Astyanax mexicanus: one gene and its partner. The protein of the gene in region 2 interacts with the protein of the main gene of each other region in a pairwise test. Links are inferred from orthologs where the notes say so. Each region holds a gene or a part of one and is shown on either strand. Other genes may lie near its edges.

Region 1 (3,924 bases), on a different chromosome or scaffold from region 2:
AAACAGTCCAGAAGAAAGAAAGAAGAGGCATTAATCAAATAAAAAAATAATAATAATTTGTAGTAACCAAAAATGGGTAAATTAAAAATTGCTAATAAAATTAAGCAAATTTACCAACTTTTCTTTATATTATGTATTCATTTGGTCACTGTGTAATCCAAATATTTTAAAATGAATGAAAGGCATATGTACTTACCACCATCTCATCCAGGAGCTCGTAAATAAGGGCAAAGTTCATCCGCACAGATTTCTCACACAGACTGCCACAGTAGTCTTTAGTTAGAGCTGCAAGCCTGCAAAACATTCAAAAACATTAGCTTCATCCTCAAGAAATGCAAGGTGACTTTACACAACACCAAAAAAAACCCCGCATATTTTAATGAAAAAGTGGCAAGTGACAACGCTGTTTACCTGTTGAGAAACTCTATGATGGTGAACGGAGAGGCGTCAGTCTTTGTAGATGCTACCCAGTAAAGTCCACCTTGTCTGACATGAATGAAGTTTAGATCTTTATGACTCTGTAAAACCAAAATAAGAAGGTAATTCTTTAGCCACAATTAATTTGATCTTTATTACAGTAGTTACTATAGTTTGTGGCTTCTGGTTTGAGGATTTTCTCTGGCCAGTCGGCGCTCTGCAATCTATACATGTTACATAATGAATCACATGAAACAGATACTGAAAAAGTACCCAGTTTTAAGTACTAGGTACCAAATTTGCAATATTTTCATATAGAAAAATTTAACATCTTAGTAGAGTCGAGTCGCATACATAGTAGAGTCGATGACAGAACAGGCTCCTTGATGACAGAACAGGCTCCTGATGACAGAACAGGCTCCTTCCTACCTGCACTCGCTCCTGAAGGCTTACGCTACCTCCCGGCCGCTGCGCTCCTCCAGTGAACGTCGCCTCGCTTTGCCAAAAACTCACACAAAGCAATCCAGACTGTTCTCATACAGAGTTCCCCAATGGTGGAACAAACTACCTTCCACTACCAGATCAGGAGAATCTCTCGCTATCTTTAAGAAACTCCTGAAGACAGAACTCTTCAAAGAGCACTTACTCTCTTAACACCTCTAACACACTAACTACTTCTAACCTCATTTCCTTCTTCCTCTCCTTCACTCCTCTATCCTATTACTCCCCTTGTCCTCCTTTTATCCCTATCCAAAGATGTTTTACCTTGAAACTTATTTTACATTGTACTTGACTATTGTAAGTCGCTTTGGACAAAAGCGTCTGCCAAATGTAATGTAATGTAATGTAATGTAATGCATACCATAAGTACATGCAGTCAACATGCACCTATGTTAAACATGCCTAAAGTACAAACCCAAAAAAGTTAAATAATTCTGAACATATTACCATCACCACAGGAGGCTGGTCTCCACTCAGTGCCGTAACCATTTCATAAAAAATGCTGACAGCATCTTTGTCAGCTTCCCCACGATCTGTAATAGTGTTAAGCAAAATGCAAACAAGCACACAGGAACAGAGATAGAACCTAAACACTAAAACCCCATTTAGTGGCAGCTATACTGCCATAACCTGCTGTTAGGTATACTAGCTGGACATAAGTATTTAAACAGCTGCTCATTTATTGTTTCTTTCTAAATCAAGGGCATTCAAACAGAGTTTATCCTGGTTTTGTTGGAATAAGTCTCTCTAGGGTTTGCTTTCTTCTAGATTGTGGAACATTGCTGTGAAGATCTGACTGGATTCAGCAACAGATCAGGATGTTTTTGTTTTCTTTTATCTGAGTCCCATATACATTTAGCATTAATTCTTTACAAGAATATTGTGTATTTACATCTGAAATACTGTATTATTAGTATATTTTTTCAACTCATTCCTGCATACATTCTTTAGCAATGCTTACATAAATATATACATACCGTTAAGTGTCTGCAGTCCAACAGTATGTACATTATTCTGTTTTTTTTTTTGGTGGGCATTTAAATGACAAATGCCACTACATAGGCTTGTAAACTGTTAAATCACCTGCTAATGTCATACAATACAAATTTAGTTTATTGTGAAAAGTACCTAAGCAACAAACACCCTCTGGTGTCATTACAGCTACAAGATTCTGCATTATCTGATAGTAATACTGGTCCATTTTTTATTGAAATCACGGGATACAGTCCATGCAAAAGCAATGATAGCAGATAAAAAAGAACATTTTACAGTTACAGTATTACTGTATCTAGTCCTCTAGACAGATAGGTAAACTGACAGACATAGTTAGATTAATATACGGACAGACAGGCATAGAGACAGTCAATGTTTTAAACCTAGGCGTTTTATTTACAAGTATTACTATTAATATGAGCTGCATATTACAAAACCCAGGGGTTTAAGTTACATACTTCACGTTCAGTATAAACTGAACCTTTACAATCCTACCTTTACATGTTTAACTTAATCATACAGTACTTTAGAGAGTTCTGTGGATCAGTAATGAAGGATACAGTCTTTGTAAATGAGATGGTCTCCTTTAGAGGATAAAATAAACACTTGAGAAATCATTTTCCGAAATAGAAAACAGAATCAATGTATGGCTAAGATTACGCGCATAGATGTGCAGCAGGTCACCACTGAAGTTCCATATTACAGAACCGCGAGCAACATTTATCTATAACTTATTCAAACATAGATATTACTCATAACTGCAGCTGTTAAATTATATAAAATTAAATATCTAGCTGTGAACACTAACCTAGCACTGTAAACAACCGGCTGCTCTTTTCCGGACGGCCAGTTGAAAATTAATCATTAGCGCCGCCTGATGGCCAGGAGGAGAAACTCACACACGCGGGTCTGCACCAGAGACAGAACAGCTCAGATATGAGAGATGTGAGGTAGAGTTTATCAGCCAGAAACCTCTCAAATTCAGTAAAATTCAATTAATCGTCTCATGTCCATCTCTCTATGGTTGAGGATTACTTTAAATATAAATAAGATAAATTTCAAATTAATGATTAGGCCTACCTAAATATGCAAGTGTATCATAATCTAAAGTATTACTATATAAGTAACATTTTTGTTTGGAAATTTAAATTGGTTGATTACTGGCTGTTTAAAACCACACATTCAAATAGAGACTTTAGATTTAAATTCAAATGAAATCACCCTGTGTCTACAACACACCAAACAATCTCATCTCTGCTGAAAGAATACTTTATCTTTAAAATGGGAACGTCAATGGGTAAAAAAACATTTAATTGTCAAATGTAAAGTAAATTTTTTTTTCTACAGTTTAAAGTCATTCAGACTATGGAGGAACACATAAGGAATCACATAGTAAAGTGGTAAACAAACCAAATTTTCTTTTAGATTTGAGTATACTGGTTTGAGTAGAGCAGGCACCTACTAAGTGCAAAACAGACAAGATGGCATGTTGGTGCAGAATGTTGTGATAGCCATGCAGGTTCTGATGAGAGCCACCTGCATGGTCCTGATGAGAGCCAGTTTTATTATAAAGTTCAATTGTCTTTGCGACTGCACTTGAGAATAATTTCAAAATTCTTAAAAAAATCTGATTGACCCTTTCTTGTCTGACTTTCAGTTCTTGAAGTAATTGTAGAGTGTAGTTTTCTTTACTTAGTTGAGCAGTTCTTGCCATACTATGGATTAGAACATTCACTGTATACCAACTCTACTTCTGATGGTCTTAAACACACTAAGGGCAAGCAAGTAGTTAACTCTTGACAAAGCACAGCTGTTAACTGAAAGCCATTCGAGGTAATTAACTCAAAAAGCTCACTAAGAAAATGCCAAGATATCCAAAGCTGTCATCTAAGCTCCCTACGGTGCCTACTAAAAAAAACATACTCTTTTATTACATTTTTTTTTCTAAATAATTCCATATATACCTCATAGTTTGGACGACTTTAAGATTAATCTACAAGTTCAAACTACAAC
Region 2 (3,924 bases):
AAAATAAACAATATAGCATAAAATAATATAATGCAGCAGATAATATTGCAGAATATTTAGTGCATGCATATAAACTGCAAACTGAAAAAATTATACAATAAATACACCTAAAGCTTCACAGTGAATAACAGACTACTTTTAAGACAGAACAGCCCTATTATCACGATATGGATTTTTAATATCATGATATTTCTGTGTCACGATATATTGTATACGATATAATATTGCCCACCCCTACTAGAAATATCTAGAAAAACAGACCTGTAGATTTAAATAGCTAGTAAACATTTGTAAGCTGTGAAATCAGAGTTTCTGACAGTCAAACTGCATCACAAATACTGAGTTTGAGTTTTCATTAAGTAAAACCTAGTGTCAGACTAATTAACATAGAAAATATGATATTGAGTCTGATATAAACACTTAAGTTTTACCTCAAAACAGAAGCTAGCTTGGAAGCTAACAAGCTAATCTATGTTTGCTGCAGAGCAGCCAACCAGCTCCGTAGTGCGTTAGCTAGCTAGCGTTAGCGCATAAAAACATTTTAAAGCTACTTTAACAGAAAAATAGTCTTACAACTTAAACTGTAACGTTACAGAAATAGACCTGGATTCACCACCACTGTTCCTCACATATTTAGCTGGTTAGTTTGTTATTTGGATTATTCCGTTTTTCAAAAAGCTAGCCAGCTAGCTAGCTAGTTATGATCTTAGCGAGGAAGTCTGCTAGCTAGCGTTTGCTTAGCTAGAGGATAAAGGCTGTGTTCCAAATGACAATTGTACTGCTAGCCAGGTTGTTAAATGTTGTACTCTTCTTTTAGGTAGCAGACACAGCAAACCAGCTACTATTTAGCTACGCTAGCTAGCTTCCTAGAGGAAGAAGGCTGTGTTCCAAATGACAACTGTGCTGCTACTACACTAGCTTCATATGCAATGAACACACTTAGTTAGCTAAAACAAATAGTTGTGCACTACTTTTAGCTAAAATACAACTCTGGAAAAAATGAAGAGACCACCTCACTTTCTGAATCAGTTTCTCTGATTTTGTATATGTTTGAGTAAAATTGTTGGTATTTTATTTTATAAAGTGGGGATAACATTTTTCCCAAATTCTAAATAAATATTCATATTCATAAAGTTTGAAGAGTCAATATGTGTGATGAGTTTTAATCATAGTTTCCATGCATATTGGTATGTTCTACTCCACCAGTCTTCCACACTGCTTTTGGATAACTACACCAAGCAGTTCAGCTTCGTTTAATGGCTTGTGATGATCAATCTTCCTCTTGATTACATCCCAAAGGTTTTCAATTTGGTAAAATCAAAGAAACTCACTTTTTTTAACTGGTCTCTTTTTTTATTTTTTAAATGTAGCTAGCTACTAGTTCCACTAGCTAGAACACAACTGTAAACAATGTTGCTGGCTACAATGTGTGTGAATTACTTGCAGACATAGTTAGTTAAAGACATGTTTGCTAGCTAGTGCGGTAGTGTACAGTTTGACAGAGCCCAAGGCTCACATTTAGTTGCTAACTAACAATAGCTAAACTAGCGTTAACACTCCAAACCACTAAACAGCTGGCAGAACTTTAGCTGGCATAGATAACTAGCTAGATACTATTTATTTAGCTAGTTTGATAGTTAGCTAGTGTGGTAGTGTACAGTTTGTTACACAGCCCAAGGCTCACACTTAGTTGCTAGCCAACACTAGCTAAGCTAGCGTAACACTCCAAGCCACCAAATAGCTGTGTAGCACTTTAGCTAACGTAGCTAATTAGCTAGCTACTGTTTATTTAGTTAGTTTGCTAGCTAGAGTGGTAGTGTACAGTTTGTGACACAGCCCATGGCTCACATTTAGTCGCTAACATTAGCTAAGCTAAGCCTCAAAGCCACATAGCAACTGTAAAGCACTTTTGTAAACATAGCTATGCTAACTAGCTACTATTTATGTAACTAGTAGTGTACAGTCACATTTAGCTGCTAAGCTAAAGCTAGGCTAACACTTGAAGCCACATAACAGCTATGAACTACTTTAGCTAACATAGCTAGGATAACTAGCTAGCCATCCACTATTTATTTAGCTAGCTTGCTATCTAGATAGCTAGCTAGCTAGTGTGGTAGTGTACAGTTTGAGATACGGCCCAGTGCTCGCACTTAGCCGCTAACGTTAGCTACAGCTAGCTGTTAGCTGACAACCCATCACTTTCGTGTATTTTCCACCGTTTAGCCCACAGACATCCAGGCAGCCAGACGCCGCGGAGGTTCAGTAATACAGCGGGGTGCTGTGCGGGCAAAAGTCGGGCCTGTCAGTGCAGAGCCCGGCCCCCTGTCCCTCTCTCTCCCGGGGAGAGGTTCTCTCACCTCTTTAGGTACAAGCTGCTTCTCCTCGCTGGGCACCATTTCCATCTGGGCGACTGTTATCTACGCGCTCATCCACCCGGGCTCTGGGGTCAACAGCAGCTCTCCGCGGCGCTGTGGCTGAGCATTATCCGCGCTCCGGCTGAGCTCCGGGTCGCTGTGGAAGCTGAGCCGCGGCGCTGTAAACTTGTTATGGAAGTAATCGCAGATACTTTCTTTCTGAGCTGCGACCACAAACTGCAATCAATGGGGGTAAAAATGGCCGCCTCCCAGTTTCGCGAGATTTCAGCCCAGGCCCTGCGTCACTTCCCAAACACTCGCGCTGATCATTTAATCACAACAACAACAACAATAATATAACTACTAGTGCTGTATCTCAAAAACTAGAATATCACTGGAAAGTTACTTTATTTCAGTAATTCAGTGCATTAGAAAATTAGAATATTATATAAGACCAATTAGTACTTTTAGCATTGTGGGCAGTGTGCCAAGTCCTGCTGGAAAATGAAATCCACATCTTCATAAAAGATGTAAGATGCACTGACTTTGGACTTGATATAACACAGTGGATCAACACCAGCAGATGACATGTCTTTCCAAACCAGCACTGACCATCAGTACATTTTGCATTTCATTTGGAAAACAAGTGACCAGAGTCTGGAGGAAGAGTGGAGAGACACACAGTTCAAGCTGCTTGAGGTCTAGTGTGAAGTTTTCACAATCAGTGATGGTTTGGAGAGACATGTCATCTGCTGGTGTTGATCCACTGTGTTCTATCAAGTCCATCTTGATAAATCTTACAGCACTTTGCAAAATTACCAATTGGTCTTATATTCTAATTGAGGAAATAGAATTCAAGCAAATTCTTACATTTTGGGAGTAATTGAATAAACAGAAAACAGTTTATTAAATATAGGAAACAATTACTCAAATTGAATTTTTTTTTTTAAATAAGGAAACAAATTGTTAAACTGGGAACAACCTAATTCGTAGAAACTTAGTGAACCATTTATGAAATTAAATGAAAAATTAATGAAATTATTCATAAAGGGACAGTTTGTTAAACTGTGGAAACAACCTACTAAATTGAGAAAACAACTTTTTAGTTAAGGGACCAATTAGTGAAATTGGAAAAATTAGGGAACATTAGGGAACAACGATGAATTGAATTGGGGGAACAACATTAAATCAAGGAAAAATTAAACATTAAACAAATATACTAAACAAAGGGAACAATTTATTAAATGAGGTGAAAAAGCTATTAAATTAAAGGAACAGTTATTGAATTTTATTAAACACATTATTATCACTTTATTAAATTGAGGAAACAATATATTATATTTAGGGGGAAAGGTTAAATTGAGAAAATTATTTATTAAATTAAGGAGACAAATTATTAAACTGAAGGAAGAATGCATTAAACTGAAGGAACTCGGGGAATGGATTTCAAAATAAATATAAGTACATACTACTAATGCCCCTCATAAAAAAACAGCATTCACCTAATGCTCATACTCTACACTTTTTGCATAAAAAATACAAATAATACTGAAACACAAATGTAAATAAA

The links.
Region 1: the proteins of usp47 (region 2) and ap4m1 interact in binary tests that used the Homo sapiens proteins (3 or more experiments, as listed by UniProt). The two-hybrid records come from large-scale screens. The link is inferred for Astyanax mexicanus from reciprocal best matches to the Homo sapiens genes USP47 and AP4M1.

Annotation. Positions count from the first base shown.
Region 1 is NC_064427.1:10,825,864-10,829,787, reverse strand, and holds the start of ap4m1 (AP-4 complex subunit mu-1), read right to left. Parts: upstream 2,776-3,924; 5' UTR 2,530-2,775; coding exon 2,472-2,529; intron 1,452-2,471; coding exon 1,366-1,451; intron 519-1,365; coding exon 412-518; intron 294-411; coding exon 197-293; intron 1-196. UniProt on the Homo sapiens protein: Component of the adaptor protein complex 4 (AP-4). Adaptor protein complexes are vesicle coat components involved both in vesicle formation and cargo selection. They control the vesicular transport of proteins in different trafficking pathways.
Region 2 is NC_064423.1:34,873,942-34,877,865, reverse strand, and holds the start of usp47 (ubiquitin carboxyl-terminal hydrolase 47), read right to left. Parts: upstream 2,620-3,924; 5' UTR 2,403-2,619; coding exon 2,358-2,402; intron 1-2,357. UniProt on the Homo sapiens protein: Ubiquitin-specific protease that specifically deubiquitinates monoubiquitinated DNA polymerase beta (POLB), stabilizing POLB thereby playing a role in base-excision repair (BER). Acts as a regulator of cell growth and genome integrity.